Linked DNA regions of Anolis sagrei. The protein of the gene in region 1 interacts with the protein of each later gene in a biochemical or structural test. Links are inferred from orthologs where the notes say so. Each region holds a gene or a part of one and is shown on either strand. Other genes may lie near its edges.

Region 1 (7,229 bases):
CCCAAAAAGTCCATGTCCATATTGGAAGATGTAAATGAGTCCTTGATTGGTTTAATTGTTCTGATATTGGGCGATGAGGAAGTTTCCTGGGGAAGGTGACAGCGAGGAGCCTTGGGACAAAAGGTGATGATCTTCATTCAGGCTTTGGGTGTCAAATAAAGGGATCCAATATGTGTGACTTCCCCTTTCCACTGTCAGTTCAACTGAAGTGAGTACTGATCAGCAGTTATCAGATGTTGCAGAGGAAACTACTTGTTCTGTACACAGACACAATGGATCATGATTACCACCTTTGTCCAGGACCTGGCCTATCCTGGATGTTCCAGGAAATTCCTCAGTGGGGCTCTTAGAATTATGTAATCTCAGAACTACATTACACAGAATGTCTAATATAAAGCACCTGTGGTCTTCTGTTTTATTTTCTACTGAGTGTGGATAAGGCACCTGACAAGCTGTTATCAGAAAAGTGGTTGCAGATCTTCTTATTGCTTATCGCTAACTGGTTGGAGTAGATGGTCAAATTTAGTTGAGTTTCGTTTTGTACAACAAGGCCTAGAATATCCAGACAATGAAGCCAAAATTGTAGTTACTGGAGGATTCTGGGAGTTGTGGTCCAAAAGGCAACTTACATAAGCTCTGAGCAGATCATCAAGTGTAGCAGAAAAACCCTGCATTACTTAGATGTATTTTTCCTTCCAGTTTCATGCTCTTGCCACCCAGGGCTGCAATCCTTTTTCCTCCCACCAAGGTATAAATCCTGTTTAAATCAGAGCATTTATCTCTGAGTAGATGTGTAGGTTTGTATTGCTAAGGTGTGGTCTACATTTACACCTTTGACAACAAGATTACAACAGTTAAATAATTTATCAGTATATGGATTGCATCTCCTGCAGCAATGCAGTCTTATAACTCCTGACAAGATTAATTTTATTTTAGGAATTATTATTATTATTATTATTATTATTATTATTATTATATACAAATATAGAAACATTAAAACAGAATTAAACACAAACAGTATTTTGAAAAATTAATTAAAACCCATCAAACATATTCCAAGTTAAACATCATAGCATCCTCTGACTTCATCTTCAAATGCCAGTTTGACTAAAAAGGTTTTAGCCTGCCGCCGGAAAGACAGCAGGGAGGAGGCTAGTCTGACTTCCCTAGGAAGAGGGGAGTTCCAGAGTCGAGGGGCAGCCACCAAGAAGGCCTTCTCTCTCATTCCCACCAACCAAGTTGGAGATGGTGGTGGGGCCAAGAGAAGGGCCTTGCTTGAAGATCCCTGGGCCTGGGCAGGTTCATACAAGGGAATGCAGTCAGTCAAATAGCCTGGACCTGAACTGTCTAGGGCTTTAAAGGTCACAACCAGTACTTTGAATTGTGCCCAGTAACAGACTGGCAGCCAGTGGAACTGCTGCAATGGGGAGGGGGGTTTGTCTACTCCCTGCAGCCATTCCCAGTTAGCACCCTGGCTGCAGTTGTTTGGACTAGCTGAAGTTTCCGAGCCTCACATAGAGCACGTTACAGTAATCCAGACGGGATAAAACTAAAGCATGTACCACACCTTGGCTTCTCAAGGAATGGGCACAGTTGGTGCACAAGTTGTAATTTTGGTCAACACAAAAACCTGGGGCTCCAGTTCCAGTTTTGAGTCCAGAAGTATCCCCAAACTGCAGACCTGTGTCTTCAGGGGGAGTGAGACCCCATCCAGCACAGGCTGGATCTCTATTCCCTGGTCTACCTTCCAACTGACAAAAAGCACCTCTGTCTTGTCTGGATTAAGTTTCAGTTTGTTTGCCCTCATCCAGTCCATTACTGATGACAGACACTGGTTTAGGGTCAGGACAGCTTCCTTGGCTTTAGGTGGAAAGGAGTAGTAGAGTTGGGCGTCATCTGCATATAGGTGGCACCATACTTCAAAACCCCGGATGACATCTCCCAGCAATTTCATGTATATGTTTGTGAGGAAGCGTTAATCCCACCGCTTGTCAACAAAATTATGTGAAGAAGCGTTAATGCCACCGCTTGTCAACAAAAATTATGTGAGGAAGCATTAATCTTCTTTAATGCCACCAATATTCTGTGAGGAACCTTCTTTTAGATATCAATTAAACTGCCACCAATATGTTTAGAGACGCTGGTTTATGTCTCTGTTTATCTTTAGTTGTGTTGTGAGGTGACTTTGGTAGTGTGGAATGCACCAAGCATAAAAGCAATGGAGGAGGCAGGTTTGAAATACAAAGAGAACAAGTTTTATTGTCAACAGAACGTAATTGTTGCAGTTTTGAGAATTTGAACTTGGCACAAGGCTTGATGTTACAAAATGGCTGGTTTGAGATACATACAGGCTTCTGATGTTACAATTCTACAAACTCCTTCTTTAGTGAAGTGCTTATACTACTTCAGAGTTCCCTATTGTGAATATCCACACTGTTTGCCCTATACTCGGAACAAACCACTGATCACCAGTCTTTCCTTACTGGCGATCCTTTAAACCCCCTCTGTTAGATTCTTTAACCTAAGCAATCTAACAAGGTAACACCTTCAGCTCTCTTGCTGAAGAAATATTCACAAATTCTAAGAACTACTGAATTCTCACAGCTTCACAACACTCTGAACCTCTTCCCCGGGTCTCATCCACCGGACTGAATATTAACTGACGCTTTCAAACCTTTTATTCCTTAAACTCCGCCCACCTCCTCTGAGGCTGTGTTACCATGGCAACCTATCCCTCACAGTTAGGCCATAGCAACTAATGTAAAACCTAAATACAGTTTAAATACAGTATAATAAACACTCTATAATAAACATTTCTCTACAATGTTGAACAGCATGAAGGACAAAATGGAACAATGAGGAACCCCACAGCACAGCGGCCAGGACCACCTTTTGGGTATGGCACTCCAGGAAGGACCGGAGCCACTGTAAAACCAGCCCCGGCCCATAGAGAGGACCCAGAAGGGTATCATGGTCAATGTATCAAAAGCAGCTGAAAGGTCCAGGAGAACCAACAGGGACACACTCCACCTGTCTAGCTCTCTTTGTAGGTCATCCACCAAGGCGACCAATGCTGTCTCTGTTTTATAGCTAGGCCTGAACGCCTTGGATGGCATTATTTTCCCATTGACTGACCTGGCATTTAGCAGCAGCATTTTCAACCTAGGGGGACAGTCACCCTGCTTATGTAAGGGACCCCAAATCTGAGCTCCTGTTGAAGATCCAATCACAGGAGGCAAACAGACAAAAATGTCTAGGCTCAGGAGAAGAGCAAAAGCAAGGTTTATTCCAGTATGGCCATAAGGAGACGGGTCAGCCGTACTGCACATGCAGGTCACAGTACTTTAAAAAAGGTTGCCGTGTACCACACCCCTTGACCACACATTATATAGGTTTTTCTTATCTATCAAGATTCTACTGCACATGTTTTCTGGGGCAAATTTCAGCCCAGCCCAAGTCTCAACTCTGTTCAGCAAGCCTTATCTTTACACTTAGCTTTTCTATTGCAGAGCACACATTTCCACCCTGCCATTGATGTGTTGCTCCTTCTCTACTGGGAGGGGTACACTTCTTCTTATTATGTTACCAAAGCAAATCTACTATGGGTATCGGCCTCCTTTAGTTATCCAGGTTATTAAATATAGGAGACAATTTGGAAGTAGTATGCATTCTATTTCGCTCCCTCTTTTGTTTGTGTTGAACCTGTTTCCCCCTTCCGCATCTTCTCCTGCTCTGTTTGACCCCACGAATCTAGGGACTTTCTCGCTCCTTAGAAAAACACATCCTTCCTGCACAGGGCAGGCCACCAGAGGATAAAGGCAAATGTTAACTTTTATTAGCCAGGCAGATGTTAACTTGAAGACCACCAAGCAGAGGGACAAGCAACAGTAGCCAAATCTGCTGCTCTTCTCCAAACAGAAGGTATTGACTCTCTTAGCCCTGGCAGACTCCAAGATGGTCCAAAGCAGAAGTTCTCAAACTGTGCAGCCCAAAAGGTTACAGGAATGCTGGGTGTGAAACTCTAATCTTCTGGGCTCAAAATTGTAGAACAAAGTTAAACAAATTCCCCAGGGAGATGTGCTGAACTTTAGAACACAATGCAAAAATATTTTTAAAGGCAATTTATGTGAAATGCTTGCCAAAGTATGCCAGTAACAGAACCATGTTATGCTTTAGGAAGTCTAATCTTATTGCATATCTTAACTGTATTTTAAATTCTTTTGGTTCAGTACTGGAACACATAAAGAAGACTTCTCGTAACTGACAAAGATTAGAAAGATCCTGTTACAGAAGTGCCTAACATTGCCAAACTGAGGAAAGTGTCAGCATCATAGTCATCCCTTAAAGGGGCAGAGATCTCTTTATTTCATCCACTTGGTTTCAGTTAGCCTATTTACTTCACCCTCTGGAGCCCCTGGTGTTCCAATCATGTTTCAGGAGTAATATCTCCTCCCAAAAAATAACTTTATTCAGCCAGCAAAATATTAAGCAATACTTTGCTATAGAAACAAATAAAGCCAGATAGTCTTAATAGCCAGTCTGAACTGGAATCCAGGGTGTGAGCTTATGTAATTCCGGACTTTGTTCTTCTGTGAAATATCCTTTGCTGAGCAATAAAGAGTGTCCAAGAGCACCGAACTGAATCTCCTCTTTAGAAGGGATCTGAATAAGACACCAGTGAGAAGAAAGGATGGCAAAGGAAAAAAGTGGCTTTGCAGAATTTGTAGAGAAGTTCTTAGAGGATGACAAGGATAACGATGATGACCTGCTATTTTCGTACAAAGGAGTCCTGTATCCTAGTCGGCTTTGTAAAGTTGAGACTTTTGAAGCTCTTGAAACCATGGAAGCCAGAAAGGATGATGTCTTGATAGTGGCTTATCCTAAATGTGGTGAGTAGTCTTTTAAGAGGAAATTAATACCTGACCTGCTGATTATTATTTGATGGCAGGTGCCATCTCTTTCCTGCTCAGTTGGAAGTATAGTCAGTCTTCTACATTTTCTGGGCTTAGAGGTGCAAAGGTGGAAAAACTGAATTAAAAATGCATTACTTTTTAACTGAGAGAACATCTCTTTAGAAATGTCTTATTCCTCTAGTGCAACTCTGTGGCCAAATTTGCCATACAGACATACTGGAAGTATGAGATACCTAGAAAGAACATATTAATCTAATATACAAATTCCTGCATATAATCACATAACAGTTGCCTTTGCATCTTAGTTGCACCCCCATGTTCAGGGTGGCAAAATGGGAATTTTAGTATTCTCTGCATAATAGTCATGCTCTTAGTTCACTTGCTCAGGATGTAACTGCCTATGGGACTTCACTCGACTACTGGCCAAGAGAGGCTCTAATGCTGGATTTTTTCCTCCGCTGTATAATAGTTGTATCTCCCTTTTTTAATCCAAAAAGGGATAAAAACGTGTGAAATACGGTAATGGTGAAATACGGTAATCAGATCCACAAATGTAAAACCCACAAATGTAGAGAGACAACTGTACAATGTTGCTTTCTGTTACCAAGGACAAGATCACATTAGAGCTCTACAGATTAGGTCCGTGTTTCCCTCTGAACCAGTTTGCTCCTGCAGAATTCTAGGGAATATAGTTTAGAGCGGAGCCTTTGAAATTCTGAGCTAGAGGTCCTTGGCTTCCCAGAATTCTGCAGAAGCAAACCAGGCAATAGGGAAACACAGGCCTGCAATTTAGAAGTCTCTAATGCAGTGGTTCTCAACTTGTGTGTCCCCAGATGTTTTGGCCTTCAACTCCCAGAAATCCTCACAGCTGGTAAACTGGCTGAGATTTCTGGGAGTTGTAGGTCAAAACACCTGGGAACCCACAGGTTGAGAACCACTGCTCTAATGTGATATCATCAGTAGTTAGACATTCAGGCTGGGTTGCCAGAATCCATGTTTACATCTACAAGCAAAGTTATGCTTGTCAGATGTCTGTAGTAGCCCATTTTGTATCTTTCTAATCCTTCTCCACATCCCACTGATCATCCCCAGGTTATGTAACTAACTAAGCAATACACACCTTCTTGCTCCATGTTCAAGTAACTGGTCATGGGCTGCTAACCTCAAACCTCTTAAAATCATAGAGTTGGAAGACACCAGAGTCATCCAGTCCAACCCCATTCTGTCAGGAAGGAATGCAGAATCAAAGCACCCCCGATTGATGGCCATTCAGTATTTGCTGTAAAACTTCCAGAGGCAGAGACTCCAGCACACTCCCAGGCAGCATGTTCCACTGTGGCAAACAGCTCTTACTGTCAGGAAGTTCTTCCTAATGTTTAGGTGGAACCTTTTTTCCTGCAGTGTAGAATTTTGTGAAATCTGTTTTGATCAATACATGTTTTTTAACACTGGCTCCTATACAAACAATAGCTTCTCTTGCAAACAGTACCTCCAGTTCTTCCTAAAGTTAAGGTGGAACCTTTTTTCCGGCAGTGTAGTATTTTCTGAAATCTGTTTTGATCAATATTGCTTTTTTACACTGGCTCTTATACAAACAATAGCTTCTCTTGTAAACAATACCTCCACTTCAAACAAATGCTGTGCATTTCAGAGCTTCAGAGAGAGTTCAGGCATAAAGCCAAAAGAAAAGTGGCCTCAGGATCATATCCTCAATTGCTTCGTGGTCTTCTTATCTGCTATAAATGCAGCCCAGTGATTTTTGCTTTAAGAATTCGTCATTTCATCCATCAGAATTTGCAATCCTGGGAAAGGATAAAATGGCAAACAATGGTTTACCTCACCTAAGGGGGAAAAACTAGATACACAAAGTATGAGGAGGGAGAATGTCATCCCAAGACTGTTCTTTGCTAATCTGCAAAATGCTAAATGATTGTTAAAATTATTAAAGTCTAGTTATTTTAATATCAATAATTTAGCACAGACGTTGGCACACTGACTGTACTCTTGTCTCTGTGTGTCTTATGTTTTTGGAAGCCATATGGAACTCATTTGCCTTTATGTTGCAGGTACAAATTGGTCATTATATATTTTAAATGATATGGTGGCAGAAATTCACAAGGATATTTCACCCCCGAATAACTTTCAACTGCTTGAGTTTGGACGTCCAGAAAAAATTAAGGTCAGCATGAACTCAAAGTCTTTCTATGAAAGTCAGTGTATATATGACAACTTATTAATGTGCAATTAATTTGTCATCAATGTTGGGAAGGTAGTATTTAATTCACTGCTAGTGTTAATTTATATAAATGATTAGTT
Region 2 (6,871 bases), about 140 Mb from region 1:
GAATGTATTGTCATTCACTGGACCAAATTTGGCACAAATACCCGATATATCCAAATTTTGAATACTGGTGGAGTTGGGCAGGGAATTGATTTTGTCATTTGGGAGTTGTAGTTGCTGGGATTTATAGTTCACCTACAATCAAAGAGCATTCTGAACCCCACCAACGATAGAATTGGGCCAAATTTCCTACAAAGAACTCTCATGACAACAGAAAATACTGTGTTGTCTGATGGTCTTTGGTGACCCCTCTGACACCCCCTCATGACCCCCTCAGGGGTCCTGACCCCCAGGTTGAGAAACACTGCTTTAAAACATAACAGAGAGTGGGTGTAACTGGGAAGAAGTTGTGATCACATTCTAGTTTAGGAGGGACAGTACTGGCACAGTTTCTGTAGACTTCTACATTCTCCAACTGCCCCCCCCCCCCCCGGCTGCCAAAAAAAAAAAAAAAAGGCAATATACAACATAGTCATGAAAAATAGTGAAGAAATCTAAGATTTTCCACTGAGGGCCAGAATACCAGCAAAGTATGAGCAAAGAGGGGGTTCACACCCTTTCTATCTAAAGCACATGTGCTCTGCTAAAATCGTGGGTTCGGATCCCTGAGTGTCAAGCCACCAAAGGACTGAATAAAATGCAGATAGACTGAAGGCAAAATCAGAGTCATTTATAAATCTTGGTCAACATTTATACCAGAAGAATCTGCGCTCCAAAGAAAGACATACAACTGCGAACAGATTTCTTTTTAATGTTTGACAGCTACTCAAAACAAAGGCACATTGCCACGTAGGCTACTGATTCATCTAGAGTGGCACCAGCTAGGATCCCTCTCCATTTTCTTCTTCACTGATTGACTCTGGTAATGGTGGGAAATTTAATAAACTGTCTTTGGATTATTTTTGAAGGCTTCTTGATCCGCCCATCAGAAGAATGCGCATGGAAAGAAATGTGATATGGCAAGGGATAATGGGCTGGGATGGGCTTTGATATCTCTGCTCTAGTCAATACAATGGGTGCCAGTGAGGTAAATAAAAGGGAGGTCAGGGTGTGGGCAAATTCAACTGGGACCCCAAGAAGGGGGTCCAACTTCAATAAAGGTGAGAAAACATTCTCAAGAATAGAATGAGATCACCCCATGGCTCACTTCTAAGCCCTTTATGCTTTCCGTGTGTCATCTCAGGGTATTGTGAAGAGGACTATGCAACTATTGTGTAGACATTCGCTGAGGTCTGAGACGTGTATGGTGCTTATGCAACATTTGTGTGTGTGTGTGTGGGGGTTGGTTAATGAAAGACTGAGGGCCTTCTCAGTGGTTGCCCCCCACCTCTGGAACGCCCTTCCAAGGGAAATAAGGCAGGCCCCATCCCTCCCCTCCTTTCGTAAGAGCTTGAAGACCTGGTGTTTTCAACAAGCCTTTGAAAATGACCAGTTCTAACTCAGCCCTACACATTGTCGAATGTGGCCTTATTCTTCCTACCAATTATCCAGATTCTTTCCTCTAATCGACCCCAGAATGAACAGCCACAGACCTGTACCTAATATTATTGTTGCCTGTCAACAAGGGGTTCCCTATCAATCCCTATGGAGCTGTGGACTCTAGGGTTTATCCTTTTGGGGATCTGGTTTTCAGTAACATATGCGTCAACTCTAGGCACATGAGTTAAATCCACACCACTATGCCACTTTATGTGCTCCTTCAGATACTGGGCTACAACTCTTTTATTACTCATCATTAGACACAATTACTCGAGCTGATGGGAGTTACAGTACAGTAACACCTGAAAGGCTGCAGTTTGTTCTGTTTAGTCGGGATATTGGGGTTGTGGATATAATGCCTGACTTTAAAATGTCATTTAACCCTTCCCCAATATTAGAGCCACAAGGGTTGTTGGGTTGCAATTCCCATTATCCCCAGTCCGCATGGTGGATAATCAAAAGTGATGGGTGTTGGTGTTCAATAACATCTGGGGACACAAACTGAGTAAAAACTAAAGAGCACTGACCAGTATGTAAAAAAACTGTATAGCTGGGCTCTCTTTATCCACTGATTCTCTGTCCATGAATTAAATAGCCCTTTGAAGTCAACCATAAGGCTAATGTGGCCCTCAGTGGAAATGAGTTTGATATCCCTGGTCTAAAGGATAAAGTTTGTTCTTCATCATCATCGCTATTCCAGATCTCCATTCTGTTAAGAGTTTATTAAAATAATAATAAACCCAAACTTCTAAAATATTAAGGATGCATTCATTGGGGTGGGGGGGGGGGGGAGGGTTAGATGATTTCCACTCCGGTGGGAAGCTTCCCATCAACAAGGTGAAGTATCATAGCGATGAAGATGGAGAATAAAGTCGGGGCGATAACACGTCCCTGTTTGACACCCGATTCCACCTTAAATGGTTACGCTCAAGCCTCCTTCCTTGAGAACCGCCTTCACCGAGCTGCGATTTCAAGTGATGCCTGATGCCAACCGCAGTGTTAGATGGTCGCTACCAAAATGTTCCCTGGGAAAACAGACTATGTATTTGTAGTCAATGTCAGGTAGAAGACATTGTGCATTACCTGTTAGTCTGCCCATTGTATAGCGACCCAAGGGAAAGACACCTGAAACCCTTGTTGACACAAGATGAAGGGAACTCTATTGCAGAAACAGTGCAGTTTCTACTGGGCGATACAAATGACTATGTAACCTACAAAGTAGCCCTTTTTGCTCGCTCTGCAAAAAAGATCAGAAAGACAGAGTTAGATAAAATTGCTATCAACTGCCAAGGAGATTTTAAGGGTTAACTGCCTTGGGCCCGTACAATAAACTATTTTGATTGATTGACCTTAAATGGGTCACTTTGGGAGCCACTGCTGTCCAAGACTGTTGCCATCATGTTCCTCTCACATATTTATACATGGCATATTTATACATGGCTATCCTATCTCCTCTCAGCCTTCTCTTCTTCAGGCTAAACATCTTCATAAGGCTTGTTCTCCAGACCCTTGATCATTTGTGCTAAGTTTGGTCCAGTGAATGAAAAGACATCCTGCCTATCAGGTATTTCATAGAATCATAGAATCAAAGAGTTGGAAGAGACCTCATGGGCCATCCAGTCCAACCCCCTGCCAAGAAGCAGGAATATTGCATTCAAATCATCCCTGACAGATGGCCATCCAGCCTCTGTTTAAAAGCTTCCAAAGAAGGAGCCTCCACCACACTCCAGGGCAGAGAGTTCCACTGCTGAACAGCTCTCACAGTCAGGAAGTTCTTCCTTGTGTTCAGATGGAATCTCCTCTCTTGTAGTTTGAAGCCATTGTTCCGTGTCCTAGTCTCCAAGGAAGCAGAAAACAAGCTTGCTCCCTCCTCCCTGTGGCTTCCCCTCACATATTTAATCATGTCTATCATATCTCCTCTCATCCTTCTCTTCTTCAGGCTAAACATGCCCAGCTCCCCAAGCCGCTCCTCATAGGGCTTGTTCTCCAGACCCTTGATCATTTTAGTCGCCCTCCTCTGGACACATTCCAGCTTGTCAATATCTCTCTGGAATTGTGGTGCCCAGAATTGGACACAATATTCCAGATGTGGTCTAACCAAAGCAGAATAGAGCATGGGGAGCATTACTTCCTTAGATCTAGACAGACACTATGCTCCTATTGATGCAGGCCAAAATCCCATTGGCTTGTTATGAATCGTATTTACACTACGATTCATAACAGAAGCAAAATCGCAGTTATGAAGTAGCAACGAAAATAATGTTACGCTTGGGGGGGGGGGGGTGTCAGCACAAGACGAGGCAGCGTCTTAAGGGGTGGCAGCGTGAGGAGGGTGGAGTGGCCGCCTGGCTGGGGTGGGAGGGCTGGGCTTGGCTCCGCCTGGCTGCGCTGGCCCCGGAAACACACGTGATGCGCGGGAGGGAGGGAACCGAGGGAGGCTTTCCCGGCCAGGAAGAAGAAGGAGAAGAAGAAGAAGCGATGGAGGCGGAAAAGGAGAAGGCGGAGGAAGAGGAGGAGGAAGAAGAAGAGGCAGGGAGCGGCGGCGTGGCGGCGGCTCAGCCCCAGGAGGGCAGCTTGGGCGCCGAGCCCGCCACCCAGGCCGAGGCGGAGAAGCAGCCGTCGCCATCGCAGTCGCCTCCCACCCCCACCAGGTCTGAGCCAAGGGCGGCGCCCGCGTGGAGAGAAGCACGGAGGGAGGGAGGGAGGGGGTTGCTCTCGCTGCTCCCATTCATTGCATCTCTCTCCCCCCACCCCCCAAAAATCCCCAATCTGATGTTGCAAGCTAAGTATCACCCACCCTGGTTAGGATTTAGGCGGGAGACCGTCCACCCACGAATGCAAAAGCGAGGAGATTTCACTCCCCCCCCTCCCACCACGCTTTAAGAGTACCTTGTGAAACTACAACTCCCAGCATTCCATGGGGTCAAATGCAATTAATTCTAGGTGCACCCTCGCGGTCTCCCTAAGGAAACCCTGTGCAATTCGCCATCTCAAGACACATGGGGTGAACTATATCCTCATTGCACTGCCATTATCATCTAGGTCATCAAAACAGATATTATCTGCGTTGAACTGGATTATAGGAGTCTCTATTGCAGTGGTTCTCAACCTGGGGGTCGGGACCCCTGGGGGGGGGTCATGAGGGGGTTTCAGAGGGGTCGCCAAAAACCATGCAAAAACGTATTTTCTGTTGGTCATAAGGGTTCCATGGGGGAAGTTTGGCCCAATACTATCATTGTTAGGGATCAGAATGATCTTTTATTGTAGGTCAGGGGTCCACAAACATTTTAAACAGAGGGCCAGATCACAGTTCCTCAAACTGTTGGAGGGCCGGATTATAATTTGGAAAAAAATGAATGAATTCCTATGCACGCTGGGCATATCTTATTTGTAGTGCAAAAACACTTAAAATACAATAATTAAAATGAAGAACAATTTTAACAAATAAAAACCTATTAGTATTTCAATGGGAAGTGTGGGCCTGCTTTTGGCTGATGAGATAGCATTGTTGTTGTTGTGTGCTTTCAAGTCTTTTCAGACTTAGACTGAGCGAGGGCCAGGTAAATTACCTTGGAGGGCCGCATCCGGCCCCCGGGCCTTAGTTTGAGGACCCCTGTTGTAGGTGAATTATAAATCCCAGCAACTAAAACTCTCAAATGCCAAGGTCTATTTTCCCCAAACTCCACCAGTGTTCATTCACATTGGGCATGTTGAGTATTCATGACAAGTTTGGTCCAGATCCATCATTATTTGAGTCCACAGTGCTCTCTGGATCTAGGTGAACTACAACTCCAAAACAAGGTCAGTGCCCATCAAACCCTTCCAGTATTTTCTATTGGTCACGGGAGTTCTCTGTATCAAGATTGGTTCAATTCCATCGTTGGAGTTCATAATGCTCTTTGAGTGTAGGTAAACTATAAATCCCAGCAACTACAACTCCCAAATGACAACATCAATCCCCTGCCAACCCCACCAGTATTCAAATTGGGGCATATCATGTATTTGTGCCAAATTTGGTCCAGTGAATGAAAATACATCCTGCATATCAGATATTTATATTATGATTAATAACAGTAGCAAAATTGTAGTTGTGAAGTAGCAACACAAATAATATTATTGTTGGGGGTCACCACAACATGAGGAACTGTATTAATTCAAAGCACCTCAGACAGATGGCCATCTAGCCTCTGTTTAAAAACCTCCAAAGAAGGAGCCTCCACCACACTCCGTGGCAGAGAGTTCCACTGCTGAACGGCTCTCACAGTCAGGAAGTTCTTCCTCATGTTGAGATGGAATCTCCTCTCTTGTAGTTTGAAGCCACTGTTCTGCGTCCTAGTCTCCAGGGAAGCAGAAAACAAGCTTGCTCCCTCCTCCCTTTGACTTCCTCTCACATATTTATACATGGCTATCATATCTCTTCTTCAGGCTAAACATGCCGAGCTCCTTAAGCCGCTCCTCATAGGGCTTGTTCTTCTATGGCAGTCAAGAAGGGTCCTATGTATTAAAACGACATATTCCTCCCAATCCCATCTGATCTTGGAAGCTGACCATATACACATTCCCCTCTCTTCTTTCTTGCCTTCTTTTTTTCCTTCCTCTCTCTCTCCTTTCTTTCTTCTTTCTGCCCTCTTTCTTCCCCCCCTTTCTCTTTCTTTTTCTTTTTCTCTTTCTCTTTCCCTTCCACACAGCCCTATATCCCAGAATATCACAGCAGATAATCCACAATATTTGCTTGAATAGGGTTATCTTAATCCACACTGTCATATAATCCAGTTCAATGTGGATTTTATACAGCTGTGTGGAAGGCCCCTTCTTTTCCTTTGTTTCTTTGCCTCCAGTCATATCTTTTTCTCTTTTCCTTTCACTTCTTTTTTTTTCCAGATCTTGGAAGCTGAACATAATCATCCCTGTTTAGAATCATAGGCTGGATCTACACTGCCATATAATCCAAGTTATCAAATCAAATAATCCAGATTATCTGCTTTGAACTGGATTTTATGAGTCTACACTGCCATTAATCCAGTTCAAAGGCTGGTTCTACACTGCCCTATAATCCAAGTTATCAAATAATCCAGATTATCTGCTTTGAACTGGATTTTATGAGTCTACACTGCCATGTAATCCAGTTCAAAGCAGATAATCTGGATTTTGTATTACAGTGTAAATTGGGCCATAGAGTTGGAAGTGACTCCACCAGGCATCCAGCCCTACCCCCTGCCACACAGGAAAAGCACAATCAAAACACCCCCGACAGATGACCATCCCATTCTTGGATGGGAGGCCACTAATGACTAGCATTACAATGCTCGGATAATGTGGGATTTTCTGCCTTTATATTCTGGATTATATGGCTGTGTGGAAGGGCTCTAAGGCATATGAATGAAAGTCCTTAATA
Region 3 (7,175 bases), on another chromosome or scaffold:
TTATGTGCTTAGCATTACAAAAAAGTAAAGTAACAGCAAGAAAAAATACTCCCATCATATAGAAATTAAGACTAAATTGGGAAATAAAAAGGGATCTCTAAGGGCCCTTCCACACAGTCCTATATCTCAGAATATCAAGGCAGAAAATCCCACAATATCTGCTTTGAGCTGGGTTAACTGAGTCCACACTGAGATAATGTGGGTTTTTCTACCTTGATATTCTGGGATATAGGGCTGTGTAGAAGGGCCCTTAGTTATATGAGTCAATAACTGTGGGATTTTACTCAGCTGTGTAGAAGGGTCTAATATAAGAGAAAGTGGAATACCACTTTGAGTCTAAAAGAGAAAAGCTATATATAAGTAGTAATAATAATCTATTTAAATAAAATGTAATGTTCATTTGTGGGTTTGACATAACTCAAAAACTGCTGGATAAATTGACACAAAATTTGGACACAGTACACCTATCACACCAACAAGTGACCATCACTCATAAAAACACTGAAAAACACAATAGAAGGGACTTAAAAGGCCAAAAAAGCAAAAAGACGCTACAGGGCATGCCCAAAAACAACTCCCCTGGCAAACAAAACACACAAAAGCATATCCACACTCTCTTTCGGACTACAGCTCCCAGCATCCTCTAAACCAGGCCCTTTAGGAGAGGAGGATGATCCAAATGCACCGCTTCCAAGATACAAGCTTTCTTCTCCTTGGATTTCTTTGAGAGCATCCCAATCCCTGCATATTTCCAATTTCCTATTCCTGGACTGCAACTCTCAGCAATCCCCCAGATAGATTCAGATGGAGATAAATAGGTAGATATAGATCGATTGATCAAGAGGACTGCTGGGAGTTGCAGTCCAAGAATAAGTAGAGAAGGAAGAAAAGGGAGAAAGGGGAAGGGAAAGAAAAGGGGGGAAGGAAAGGAAAAGGAAGAGAAGGAAGAGAATGAAATAAAAAAGGGAAGGAAGGAAAGAGGGAGAGGAAGGTTGGCCACAGCAATGCGTGGCGCGTACAACCAGTAATATCAAAACAAAGACATTAATCAAAGCTATTACTACTGCAAGACTATATGCATTATGAAAGTAATGTTAATATAGTATGGTTGTTATTATATTATTCTTTGGTATTATGTAAGTTGAGCATCATGGCCCAAAACAACCCTCATAGCCACATGACGGTCTCTCTTGTCCACAAAAGGAAGGAAGCTGAGAAACTAACAGGATCTCACTGTAACTTTTGTAACTTTCTGAATGTTTGCTAACCGTTTATGTGCTAAGAGGCCACACATTATATTTGCACTACAAATCCGTATTCATGGACCTCAGAACTTACTCACACTAGCAAGCCTTGTCTTACACGTGATCCTCCAACTCAGAGTTTTTATGTCACTTTCCTTTGATGTTCAAAAGACCTTCAATAACATCATCCCATTGTTACGATTGATATTCCCATTTTACATATAAAGCAGCAAGACCAGAAGTCATTGTCGTCTGAGAATGAGAATGACGTTGGAAGAGATTGGGGCGAAACAAGGAAGAAGGATGTCAACTGGGCACTCCCTTAGGTGAACGGCTGAAATCCTAAACACTTACAGGGAACAGGATTCAAAGACATGGGTGCATCTGCACTGTTAATGCAGTATAGTATCACTTTAACTGCTATGATTAAAGTGGTATCGTCCTGGGAGTGAAATCCTGGGAGTTCTAGTGTGATGAGGCACATAGAAAAACTACAATTCCCATGATTCCACAGCACTGAGCCATGGCAGTTAAGTGGCACCAAAATGCATCCATTCTAGAGCAGGCCTGGGCAAACTTTGGCCTTCCAGGTGTTTTGGACTTCAACTCCCACAATTCCTAACAGCCGATAGGCTGTTAGGAATTGTGGGAGTTGAAGTCCAAAACACCTGGAAGGCCAAAGTTTGCCCAGGCCTGTTCTCAGGTATAGATGGAATCATAGGAGTTATAGTTTTATAAGGCCTTTCCCTGCTTGCTGGTGCCTCCCATAAGGTCATAGCATTGAGTCATGCCAGTTCAAGTGGTGTCAAACTGCAATAATTCTACAGTGTGGATGCACTCATACATAGGAATCCTATCGCACATCTCAAGTCTCTTCCTGAGCCTTTCCAGGACCAGGAAGAAGTCCTGCTTCCTAATGTAGACTTCACACCATGTAACTATAGCACTTTGAAAACATCTGACGCAACGCTGGGATTTGTATTTGGCGAGGGAAACAGAATCCCCCAGAGTTTCCCAAGCTCTGGCCTTCTGAGTGTTTTGGACTTCAGCTCCCAGAATCCCTCACCACTAGCCACAGCAGCTGAGGCTTCTGGGAGTTGAAGTCCAAAACACGCTTAAGACCAAAGTTTGTCAAATCACCGAATACTATTAAAACTTTCAGGCAAAGAAGTCTTAAGTTATTATCATTCGTCAAATTTCAGAGCCTAGAATTCCACGGGAAACAGCCAAGGGAGTTAAAGCGGTATCAAAGTGCTATAAATGTGAGGTGTGGGCACATCTATACCATACCACGAAGACTCCACTTTAACTTGGGTTTTGTACTTTGGGGAAGTTTGGTTTTTTGCCAGACCTTGTAAAACTACATTTCCCAGGATGCCATAGCAATGAGCCATGGCAGTTAAAGTTGTGTCAAACTGCATTAAGTTCTACAGTGTAGATGCACCCTAGACCTCAATCCACACATTCAGGGAGCGACCCCAAAAGGCTGACAGAGGATAAAGGCAAATGCAGTCTAAGTTAACCTTGTCCCAATTGATTTCCCAGGAAAAGAACCCCTCTCCCCCTTCCCAGCCTCCTCACCCTCAAAGTGGAGGTCCCACAGCGTCAAGAGTAAGGGCAGCGCCGAGGCCAGCTTGTGCACGCAAGCCCGGGGAGAGACCATTGCTGCGTTCCCACGTGCGCCGCCCGACCCGCGTCAAAGTGGAGTTCGGGACTCTTCAACTCTCTCAACATTCTCAGCCAGGTTCCTGGGGCTGGGTCGTGGGAGCCGCTGATTGGCCGCGCCGCCTCAAGCCCCGCCCCCGGCTAGGGGAACGTGGAGAGCAGGAGAGCCCATGGTCAGCGGGCCCCGCCCCCTCCTCCCCGGGCATGCGCGTTAGGAGGCGTTGAAGCCGGCGCGGACGGACGTCAGCTTGCCCTCTCTTGGGAATGAAGTTCCTTTCAAGCTCTGTGACGTCAAGGAGGGCGACACCAGGGCGCTACTTTTGAAAGTTTGACGGTGTTTGCTTCCAAGTTGCACAGAATAAGTCTTGAAATAACAATGGTTGCCTCTACACTCTAAATTAATGCAGTTTGACACCACTTTCACTGCCATGATATCATGGGAGTTGTAGTTTTACAAGGCATTTAGCTCGTTCTGCCAAAGAATGTTGGTGCCTCATCGAACTACAGTCTATTCTGCCTTGGTTAGACCAGACCTGGAATATTGTGTCCAATTCTGCGCACCACAATTGAAGAGAGATATTGACAAGCTGGAAAGTGTCCAGAGGAGGGCGACTAAAACGATCAAGGGTCTGGAGAACAAGCCCTATGAGGAGCGGCTTAAAGAGCTGGGCATATTTAGCCTGAAGAAGAGTAGGCTGAGAGGAGACATGATGAGGGCCATGTATAAATATGTGAGAGGAAGCCACAGGGAGGAGGGAGCAAGCTTGTTTTCTGCTGCCCTGGAGACTAGGAAGCGGAATAATTGCTTCAAACTACAAGAAAGGAGATTCCATATGAACATTAGGAAGAGCTTCCTGACTGTGAGAGCCGTTCAGCAGTGGAACTCTCTGCCCCGGGGTGTGGTGGAGGCTCCTTCTTTGGAAGCTTTTAAACAGAGGCTGGATGGCCGTCTGTCGGGGGTGATTTGAATGCAATATTCCTGCTTCTTGGCAGGGGGTTGGACTGGATGGCCCATGAGGTCTCTTCCAACTCTTTGATTCTATGATTGTACAAACCCCAGAGTTCCATAGCAGTTAAAGTGGTGTCAAACTGCACTCATTCTCCAGTGTAGATGCATCCCTTTGGGATGGTGACCTCATTCAGAAAAAAAATGTTCCATATTGTGGGATTTTAGAATACTGATATATCTTGGAAATGTCTAAACACAAACTGCTTTTACAATTTAAACGCACAGCCTGAGAGTAATTTCATACATAATATTTGTGTAACTTTATGTTAAACAAAGCTTGTACATCTTAAAGCATAAGAAAGCAAAGGTGTTTCTATCTCAGCCAGCCATTTGGACTGTTTAGGAATATTTCGGAATTCAGGATCAAGGGCTCTAAACTTGTATTCTTAATACAAAGTCTCCGTCCAGGAAAATTACATACAAACTCATAAGAAATCAATGGGATGTGATTAACTTATATCACACTAACCTCATTCGTTTCAGAAAGACTTGAGGGTAGCGATTTTGTTGGAGATCGCAACCTTCTCAAGCCTCCTCTATTTAATGTTATGTCTGTTTATAATGTGTCGTTTTATTTCCCAAAGTGTATGTCTACTTTGTATTGTCGAAGGCTTATGTCTACTTTGGTTTGCAGTTTCCTTAGCTCTATATACTTGAGGCAGTGCGAGGGGCTGCAGATCACGGGACTGTTTATAATGCATTTTAAACATGATAATAGTTGAGGAATGACAGCTAAGTCTTGAGTCAGCTTGAGTACAGAAGTCTGTTTTTCAGTCAGATGTCAATGTAGAAAGTTAGAAAACTGTTGAAGCTTGAATTCTTCAATAGTAGACTGTTATGAAAGAGAACTGTACAGAACAATATAGTTTTTGAAAAGACTATTAAAGACAATAAGTTAAAGATACAAACCAAAATGTTTTAAAATTTAACATGACAAGAAATGTGCCTGTATATTTTAGTACATGAAGCTATGAGTAAACAAACAAGCTATTTTTAAAGAAGTCAATTTGAATCTTTGTCTGCTGAGAGCACTTAATAGAAACTATGTGCCTAGCGACCATCCATTACTCAATAAGCTAGAGGAACACCTACATAACTCTGCGAACCAATAGGTTATGATCCTAACAGGTCATGAACCATAATCCCCAGTAGGTTGTGATCCTAACAGGTCATCATCCATTATCCCCAGTAGATTTATTGAGAAACAAACCCTTGGATTTCTGTAGATCTGCGTGGGATTATAGTGTAATTTTCTGGAGAAGGACTGAAATATATCAAGATGTGAAATAGCCTTAAATTCTTTGATATTCATTTTTAAACCAGTCTGTTCTATATTTTAAAATACGTACAACCACTGCTTATTGCCAGGAAACATCCCTTAAAAGCTGTCTTCAACCCCAAAAGGAAGCTCAGGTCCCATCTACACTGCCATATAATGCTGTTGGAAACTTGCATTATATGCTCAGTGTAAACTCATATAATGCAGTTTAACTGCATTGAACTGTAAATCACTTCTGACGTGAGAGAAATGGCCATCTGCAAGGACATTGCCCAGGGGATGCCTGGATGTTTTACCATCCTGTAGGAGGCTTCTCTCATGTCCCTGCATGAAAAGCTGGAGCTGACAGATAGGAGCTCACCCTGCTCCCCAGATTAAAACTGCTGACCTTTCAGTCAACAGTCCTGCCAGCACAAGGATTTAACCCACTGTGCCACCGGGGGCTCCCATTTGCTGCTTACACAAATACACAACCTGTCTTCATTCTGTGGCATATATCCTTTTTACCGGATTAATTCAACTAAACCAGCTTGCAGTTGGAGTCATTAATGTAAGGTAAAGCCAGACTGAATTGTAGTAAACTTGGAAAGAACAAATTTACTACAGTCTGGGAAAATAAAACACCAGTCAATATAAAGTTCAGTTCTTAACAATGTGGTAAAACAAAACACTGGTCAAAGAAAACATATGGAACAACAACTAAAAAGGAGCCATAGAAGACTTCTTCAATACATGATTGTAGTGGCAAGACTGTTGTGTGCCTAGACTTAGAAGAATATATTCATAGCCATGGAGGGAAAATGGTCACTGAATGAGCTACCAGAAATGGATCCAATCTCAATTTGATTCAAGAAAAATCAGTAGAGACTTTTTGAAAAAAGATTGCTTAAAAAGCAGTTTGAAATTACTATATATTTTATTTCTTCTATTCACTTTTTTTCAACATTTCTCCCTGCCTTTTTAAGTTATTACTTGTGAGTGAACTTTTATTGTATTTGGGAAAAAAATAATAAAATAAAAAGGAGCCAATGGTTATTCTAAAAATATTAATGCCACTAATAACCACTAGAGGCCACTAAAATATCCTAATAAATAGTTGTGTACTGAAGGCATTAGTGTTCTATGTATGAACAAGCATTTGTTTGCATGTGCCTTTAATCCCCATGTCAACTTATGGTAATCGTATGGATTTCATAGCAAGACATACTCAGAGATTGTTTTACCATCTTCTTCCTGTGAAATATCCATAGTACCTGGTCTTTGTCCAAGTATTAACCAGAGTTGAACATGTTTGGCTTCCAGGATCAATCAGATGCCTTTAGGATATTTACTGCTGGATAAACAGGACCATGAACTTCACACGGTGTTGCATTTTTGGTGATACTACAATACTACTGCTGGTACTTTGTACTTAGACCTAGAGTTTTCTCCTACATCAACCCCCCCCCCCCCCCCACTCACCCCGCTTACCAGTAGCTCCAACTCAGTATCAGGTTGCCTGTAATTTGATTATTAAATTAACAGATGTACCACTTTTTAGAAAAATTCCAAAATACGATGTGCACAAATTAGCCAGCAAACATCACACTAGCTATCCATGCACATCTACTGACCATGGCATCTGTCAAATATATCCAAGACAGTAACTAAAGTGGCCTAAGTCATCTTCTTGTTTGAAGCAAAAGATTACGGAAACTAATCAGACTAGCAGTTTAATTTTATTTCATCACTAACCGTCCCCTGCCACACATTGCTGTGGCCCAGTCTGTGTATATGTGTTTTGTGTGTGTATATATGTGTATGTATATATGTGTGTATATGTGTATATATGTGGTTTTGTGCATAAGTTGTAATGTTGTTTTTTTAGTTTTTGGCTTTTTAAGTCTCTTCCACTGTATTTTTCAGTGTTTTTATGAGTGATGGTCACTTGTTGGCCTGATAGGTGTATTGTGTCCGAATTTGGTGTAAATTTGCCCAG
Region 4 (7,520 bases), on another chromosome or scaffold:
ACACAGCTGAATAAAATCTCACATTATCTGCTTTGAATTGGGATATATGGCAGTGTGGACTCAAATATTCCAGTTCAAAGCAGATACCATGGGTGGTCCACGTTCGCGTTACATCGCAAACAAAATACTGCAATACACTCTATGTGGGGTTGCCTTTGAAGACTGCTTTAGAAGCTTCAACAAATCCAATGGAAGGCAGCCAGGTTGCTCACTGAAGCGGCATACAGCCCCTCTGCTATGCCAGCTCCACTGGTTGCCAATCTGCTACTGAGCACAATTTAAAGTGCTGGCTTTAGCCTATAAAGCCCTGAACAGTTCTGGTCCAGCTTACCTGTCAGGACGTATCTTCTGTTATGAACCATCACAAAGTCTAAGATCGACAGGAGAGGCCCTGCCCTTGGTCCCACCATCCTCGCAAGCGCGTTTGGCGGAGACAAGAGACAGGGTCTTCTCAGAGGCAGCCCCTCGCCTGTGGAACTCTCTACCCAGTAACATTAGATTGCCCCCCTCCCTCTTGTCCTTGAGAATGAAACCCAAAGCCTGGTTATGGGACTAAGCATTCAAACAGTAGAGGCAGCAGTTTAGAATGAGGTCCAATTTGTGTGAAGGACAATGTACTGACCTGGACTATGATTTCAAATCTGCGTGTTTTAAACAATATTTTAGTAATTTTATGTTTTGATTGCTTTTATCATTTATTACTGTTGTTGTCATTGAATGAATGCCTGTTGCGAAGCCGCTCCGAGTCCCCCTCTGGGGGTGAGAAGGACGGCATACAAATATGCGAAATAAATAAATAAATAATCTGGCTTAATATCCTTCCTATTGGCCTGCATCAATAGGAGCATAGTGTCTAGATCTAGGGAAGTCATGTTACCCCTCTATTCCGCTTTGGTTAGACCACATCCGGAATACTGTGTCCAATTCTGGGCACCACAATTGAAGAGAGATATTGACAAGCTGGAATGTGTCCAGAGGAGGGCGACTAAAATGATAAAGGGTCTGGAGAACAAGCCCTATGAGGAGCGGCTTAAGGAGCTGGGCATGTTTAGCCTGAAGAAGAGAAGGCTGAGAGGGGATATGATAGCCATGTATAAATATGTGAGAGGAAGCCACAGGGAGGAGGGAGCAAGCTTGTTTACTGCTTCCCTGGAGATTAGGACGCGGAAAAATGGCTTCAAACTACAAGAGAGGAGATTCCATCTAAACATGAGGAAGAACTTCCTGACTGTGTGAGCTGTTCAGAAGTGGAACTCTCTGCCTCGGAGTGTGGTGGAGGCTCCTTAGAATCATAGAATCATAGAATTGGAAGAGACCTCATGGGCCATCCAGTCCAACCTGCTGCCAAGAAGCAGGAATATTGCATTCAAATCACCCCTGACATCTGCCAGGAAGTAGCAGCCAATAGTGAAAGGACCAAGGCAGCAACATCTCCAGCTCATCCCTTGTTTGGGTATCAGCCAGCACGTCAACGACTTAAATCAAGAAATAGTTTTCTTAGATATACAGAGACACTCGCTGGAACACCTCAGCAAGTGAGAATCCAAAAGTGGCAGGCTCAAATCCAGCACCTCAATCCGTAGGTGATACCAGATGAGAGACTCCCTCCTGGGCACACAGAAGACTGGGCGACTTGGAAGGCGCTGAACGGACTGCGCTCTGGCACCACGAGATGCAGCCACCCTTCAGAAATGGGGCTACAAAGTGGAATCCACGACATGCGAGTGTGGAGAAGAGCAAACCACTGACCTAGGTTCTTGTAGGTTTTTTCGGGCTATAGGACCATGTTCTAGAGGCAAACCACTGACCACCTGCTGCAATGCAACCTGAGCCCTGCCACATGCACAATGGAGGACCTTCTTGCGGCAACACCAGAGGCTCTCCAAGTGGCCAGCTACTGGTCAAAAGACATTTAGTCAACTACCAAGTTTGCTTTTTTATCTGTTTGTTTGTTTTGTTCTGTTAGAAATGTAATACAATGGTATGGTTGCTGATGACACGATGAATAAATACCCCTGACAGATGGCCATCCAGCCTCTGTTTAAAAGCTTCCAAAGAAGGAGCCTCCACCACACTACGGGGCAGAGAGTTCCACTGCTGAACGGCTCTCACAGTCAGGAAGTTCTTTCTTTGGAAGATTTTAAACAGAGGCTGGATGGCCATCTGTCGGGGGTGCTTTGAATGCAATATTCCTGCTTCTTGGCAGGGGGTTGGACTGGATGGCCCATGAGGTCTCTTCCAACTTATAATTCTAGGTGGTATACAAATGCGGCCAATAAATAAATAATGTACATTGATGGTTAGGTTCTTGTAGGTTTTTTCGGGCTATAGGGCCATGTTCTAGAGGCATTTCTCCTGACGTGTCGCCCGCATCTATGGCAAGCATCCTCAGAGGTAGTGAGGTCTGTTGGAAATAGGAAAATGGGTTTATATATCTGTGGAATGACTGGGGTGGGGCCTGCTAGAGCTAGGTGTGAATGTTTCAGCTGACCACCTTGATTAGCATTGAATCGCTTGGAAGTGCCTGGAGGGAATCTTTGTTGATAGACAGCTCTCTGCTGAAGCTAGGTGTGACAATGTACATTGAATTATTAGGTGTACCACACGAAGATTACCAATCTATGAACACGAGGCTAGAAAGTACCGCTTGAAGAGCCCTGGAGTGAAGGGAAAGAATCTGGAAAAACATCCCAATACAGAGGAATGAGAAAAGAGGAATGAGAAAGAAGCCTATTGATTAGCCTTGAACCCACCTGCCAGGAGTGGCGTGGGAGGCGCCATCTTGAGCCGGATCCGGACCTTCCTCTTCCGGGTCGCGGGGAGGCGGAGCTGGACACGTCTCTCTCTCTCTCTCTCTCCTCCGCCAGCTCAAGAGCCGTGGTGACGTGTACCAACCCGAAGGGAGGGGCGCGGAGTTTCCCAAAGTCACGCGCACCCAAAGCAAGCCTCGCTATTGGTCGGCGAACACGGATAGGAGAAGAGCGCGGGGAAGGTTAGGAAATAGACTCTCCCCCGAGGGGGAGGGGGCTACTTCCGAGTGGCAGCTGGTGACGCGCTTCCGGAAGGCGGGGCCTGCGTGAGAGGGGCAGTTGCTGCTTACGCGGCGCCTTGGCTGGAGGCAGGTCCCGCTCGGAGGGAGCAACAGCAAAGATGGTGGCCAAGCAGCGCATCCGGATGGCCAACGAGAAGCACAGCAAGAACATCACACAACGCGGGAACGTGGCCAAGACCTCGGTAAGGGCGGGTGTGGAGGGGACAGGCCATCTCAAGCAGGCCTGGGCCAAGTTGGGCCTTGCAGGGGTTTGGGACTCCAACTCCCATCATTCCTAACAGCCTCAGGCCCTTTCCTTTCCCCCCTCAGCCTCTTAAGCGGCTGAGGGGGAAAAGGAAAGGGCCTGAGGCTGTTAGGAATGGTGGGAGTTGAAGTCCCAACCCCCTGCAGGGCCCAACTTGGCCCAGATCTGCTTTCTCCTCTTCTTAATCCCCTTCTTCTTCCTCCTGATCCCTTTTGATAACTTCCTGACTGTGAGAGCCGTTCAGCAGTGGAACTCTCTGCCTCAGAGTGCGGTGGCGGCTCCTTCTTTGGAGGCTAGATGGCCATCTGTCAGGGGTGCTTTGAATGCAACATTCCTGCTTCTTGGCAGGGGGTTGGACTGGATGGCCCATGAGGTCCCTTCTTCTTCCTCCTTCTCCTTTTTGATAACTTCCTGACTGTGAGAGCCATTCAGCAGTGGAACTCTCTGCCTCGGAGTGCGGTAGCGGCTCCTTCTTTGGAGGCTAGATGGCCATCTGTCAGGGGTGCTTTGAATGCAATATTCCTGCTTCTTGGCAGGGGGTTGGACTGGATGGCCCATGAGGTCTCTTCCAACTCTATGATTCTATGATTCTGGCTCTTCTCCCCACAGAGAAACGCCCCGGAAGAGAAGGCTTCGGTGGGGCCCTGGCTGCTGGCGCTCTTCATCTTCGTGGTCTGTGGATCCGGTAAGTGAGTCGTGACAGGGTCAGAAGAAGAAGAACTTTATCTTTCTACTCCATCTCCCTGAAGGGACTCGGGGCGGCTCACATGGGGCCAAGCCCAAGGCAAAATACAATTAAAAACAAAACAATAGATAGAAAGTATTGCACTGTATGCAACAAACATTTCCAAATGGATGTCTACTTAAATAAAATAAAAATAATTGAGAAAGATTTCAGCAAGGGGAAAAAAGCAATAACAAATTTAAAAAGCATAAAACAACATAAGAATAATAAACAAGCAACAAAAGCAACAGCAGATGGAGGTCTGTGGATCCAGTAAGTGAGTCGTGACAGGGTCAGAAGAAGAAGGACTTTTATTTTTCTACTCCGCCTCCATCTTCCCGAAGGGACTCAGGGTGGCTCACATGGGGCCAAGGCAAAATACAATTAAAATCAAAACAATAGATAGAAAGTATTGCACTGTATGCAACAAACATTTCCAAATGGATGTCTACTTAAATAAAATAAAAAACAATTGAAGAGAAAGATTTCAACAGGGGGAAAAATAACAAATTAAAACAGCATAAAACAACATAACAATAATAAACAAGCATCAAAAGCAACAGCAGGCTAATTTTGGAGAGGCAGGGAAGGAGGACCACTATGCAAACTGGTTAAAGGATAAGGTGGATCAAAACATATAATAGCGTTAAGATCATCTGGAGAGGCCCTGCTCTCGATCCCACCACCTTCGGAGTCGCGTCTGATGGGGATGAGAGACAGGGCCTTTTCTGTGGTGGCTATGGAATTCCCTCCCGAAGGAAATTAAATCTGCCCCCTCCCTCCTGACCTTTAGGAAGCTAGTGAAAACCTGGCTGTGGAGTGAGGCGTTTGCAGAATGATGGGTGAGACTGATAATCGACCAAAGTATTGACCACAATATACGGACTGAGTTGGACATGTTTTTTATCTTGGCGAACTGCTTTTGTGTATTTATTTTATATATATTGGTAATTTACTTTTGTTATATGTTGTCTTTGATTTTTACTGTTTAGCATTGAATTCTGGCTGTTAGCTGGTCTGAGTCCATCTACAGAGGTAGAGAAGATCGGGATATAAAAGTTTTAAATAAATAAATAAATAGCATAGGAAATAGCATGGAAACAGAGCAATTAAACAGGATCAATTCAGCATAACTTTAAAAATATATAGAAACGTAATATAGGAATTCAGATTCATGTCATGATATAGATCATTTGTCATAGGGGTCATCAGTCAAATGCACAACGAAACATCCACATCTTTAATTCCGTATGGAATGTGGGTAGGGTGGGTGCCAGCCTATTTTCCCTGGGGAGGGAGTTCCAGAGATGAGGGGACAGTGAAGGTGTGTGTCAAGGCTTTCTGATACCTTTTATTGATATTGAAGTTCATATTTTAACACAACAACCCTACAAGATGCATGGGGCAACTTGAGCACTCTGGGTGTTTTGGTCTGCTGTTAGGAATTGTGGGAGTTGGAGTGCAAAATATCTGGAGGGCCCAAGTTGGTCCCGGCCTGCAATTGTTGACATCCACACATTTAGAGTGGGCCTCCTGGTGGCACAGTGGGTTAAACCACTGAGCTGCTGAACTTGCTGACCGAAAGGTCAGAGGTTCGAATCAAGGGAGAAGGGTGAGCTTCTGCTGTTAGTCCCAGCTTCTACCAACCTAGCAGTCCAAAATCATGCCAATGTGATCAATAGGTACTGCTTCTGCGGGAAGGTAACGGTACTCCATGTAGTTATGCTGGCCATGTGACCGACTGACAACATCAGCTTTTCGGCTTAGAAGTGAAGATGAGCACACTCCCCCCCCCCCCCCCTAAACTTAATGTCAGGGGAAATCTTTACCTTTTACACATTCAGTGATTGATCTAATTTATTAGCCTTACCACATGTGCAGGTGGTGGCATCAACTCTATTTAGAAAACTGAAAGAAAATTGAGCTGTAGTTTTTAAGTATTCATGGAGAAGAAGTGCTAGATGATTGGTTCCACAAAACATAGCTTCAGGCCTTATTATTATCAAATTCATTTATACCCCACTCAAAGGTTAGCTGGGGAGGCCCTCCTCTCAATCCCATCCCCCTCACAAGTGAGGTTGGTGGGGACAAGGGAGAGAGCCTTCTTGTTAGTGGCCCCGCGCCTTTGGAATGCCCTCCCCAAGGAAATTGGACAAGCACCCACCCTCATAACTTTCAGGAAGGAGTTGAAAACCTGGATGTTTAAGCAGGCTTTTGATGATGGCTAGGAGCATTAACCACCCTATCGAACAGGACTTTAAATGGTTATCAGAACTATAACTTATAATGCTGGATACCCTTATCATAGGAATTGGCTGCTTTTAAAGAGTGTTTTATATGTATACTGTTTTAGAGGGCTAAATAGTATTTTAAACTGTTTATTTTTGTTCACAATACTGTACCATTTTGTTTTATTAATTGACATGCGATTATTGTTTGATATATCATTTACTGTATTTGCTGTTTTGTTGTAAACCACCCCGAGTCCCACCTGGGAGAGGGGGCAGGATATAAATAAAGCTTATTTTTATTATTTGTCTCCCCCGCAGGGAGCTCAAAGCAGCTTAACATAAAAGCATCCGCATATCCATTTCAAATATACAGATGTTAAAATAGGATGAAATATAAATAGCATTTAAAAATTCCCAGTAGTGGTTGGAAAGATCCTTTTTCCTCTCAAGGAATTCTAATACTGTAGTTTACTAGTGATCAGTAGAAAGTGTGTGTGAAGGGAGAATTCAGGAGGGCTCGATAGAGAGTGGCAGGTGATCTATCCTGGGACCTCATTTAGTGTAATGGAGTTACAGCCTCAGTGTGAGTTGCAACAGCAATGACTGCTTTGTTACTCAACTCTGTTTTAAGAAATTTGCACTTCATACGTCTTCATCTGTCCACATTCCCCTAGTAACCACCTTCCCTATCATTGACTTTATGTAGGTCAACAAGAATAAGTGCACGAGTGAGACTTGCATGTAAGGATTGTAGAATTTCCTATCATTGGAAGATGTCGGTTAATCTCACAACTCAGTGGAATTCACTTCATAATAAACACATTCATATTTGTGCTCACTATGATTTGAGACTTCCCTGTTTAAATAGCCAAATCACCTGCAAGGTAGTCTTCCTGCAATTGGGTATCTTTGAAAAAAAAGGCTTATGCAAAGCAAGTGTTCTAAACACTGTCATTAAGAGTGTCATGTGCTTAGTTGATCTCTTTAACTGTAGCAACGTCAGCTTTGTATATCCATTGAGACTAATAACGGTATAATAATATTGGGTTTTATTATTTCTCTCTTTGGTTTTACACACGTGTTGAAAATAAAAAAGGCCTAACCAAATTATGTTAAAGGAAAAAGCTTGATATCTTATGATAAAGTCTATTTTAGCAACTCCCATTCATGATAAGATCAGAAACAATTATTTTAAAATAACTATAAGTGAGCTATAAATAGTATATCCATATTTTATGGTAAGGAAAGGAATAAAATCATCTTGGTAAA

Evidence for each region.
Region 2: the proteins of EIF2AK2 (region 1) and PRKRA form a complex in vitro, tested with the Homo sapiens proteins (3 studies listed by BioGRID and IntAct, with this or other methods). The link is inferred for Anolis sagrei from reciprocal best matches to the Homo sapiens genes EIF2AK2 and PRKRA.
Region 3: the proteins of EIF2AK2 (region 1) and DNAJC3 form a complex in vitro, tested with the Homo sapiens proteins (2 studies listed by BioGRID). The link is inferred for Anolis sagrei from reciprocal best matches to the Homo sapiens genes EIF2AK2 and DNAJC3.
Region 4: of the proteins of EIF2AK2 (region 1) and EIF2A, one has a biochemical effect on the other in vitro, tested with the Homo sapiens proteins (4 studies listed by BioGRID, with this or other methods). The link is inferred for Anolis sagrei from reciprocal best matches to the Homo sapiens genes EIF2AK2 and EIF2A.

The regions. Positions count from the first base shown.
Region 1 is NC_090021.1:51,152,939-51,160,167, forward strand, and holds the start of EIF2AK2 (interferon-induced, double-stranded RNA-activated protein kinase), read left to right. Parts: upstream 1-4,213; 5' UTR 4,214-4,690; coding exon 4,691-4,889; intron 4,890-6,979; coding exon 6,980-7,092; intron 7,093-7,229.
Region 2 is NC_090021.1:189,757,446-189,764,316, forward strand, and holds the start of PRKRA (interferon-inducible double-stranded RNA-dependent protein kinase activator A), read left to right. Parts: upstream 1-3,870; 5' UTR 3,871-3,885; coding exon 3,886-4,127; intron 4,128-6,871. UniProt on the Homo sapiens protein: Activates EIF2AK2/PKR in the absence of double-stranded RNA (dsRNA), leading to phosphorylation of EIF2S1/EFI2-alpha and inhibition of translation and induction of apoptosis.
Region 3 is NC_090023.1:126,802,173-126,809,347, reverse strand, and holds the start of DNAJC3 (dnaJ homolog subfamily C member 3), read right to left. Parts: upstream 3,023-7,175; 5' UTR 2,908-3,022; coding exon 2,826-2,907; intron 1-2,825. UniProt on the Homo sapiens protein: Involved in the unfolded protein response (UPR) during endoplasmic reticulum (ER) stress.
Region 4 is NC_090023.1:241,294,554-241,302,073, reverse strand, and holds the start of EIF2A (eukaryotic translation initiation factor 2A), read right to left. Parts: upstream 3,018-7,520; 5' UTR 2,782-3,017; coding exon 2,754-2,781; intron 1-2,753. Other genes in the region: SERP1 (stress-associated endoplasmic reticulum protein 1), read left to right, coding at 3,151-3,234, 3,906-3,981. UniProt on the Homo sapiens protein: Functions in the early steps of protein synthesis of a small number of specific mRNAs. Acts by directing the binding of methionyl-tRNAi to 40S ribosomal subunits.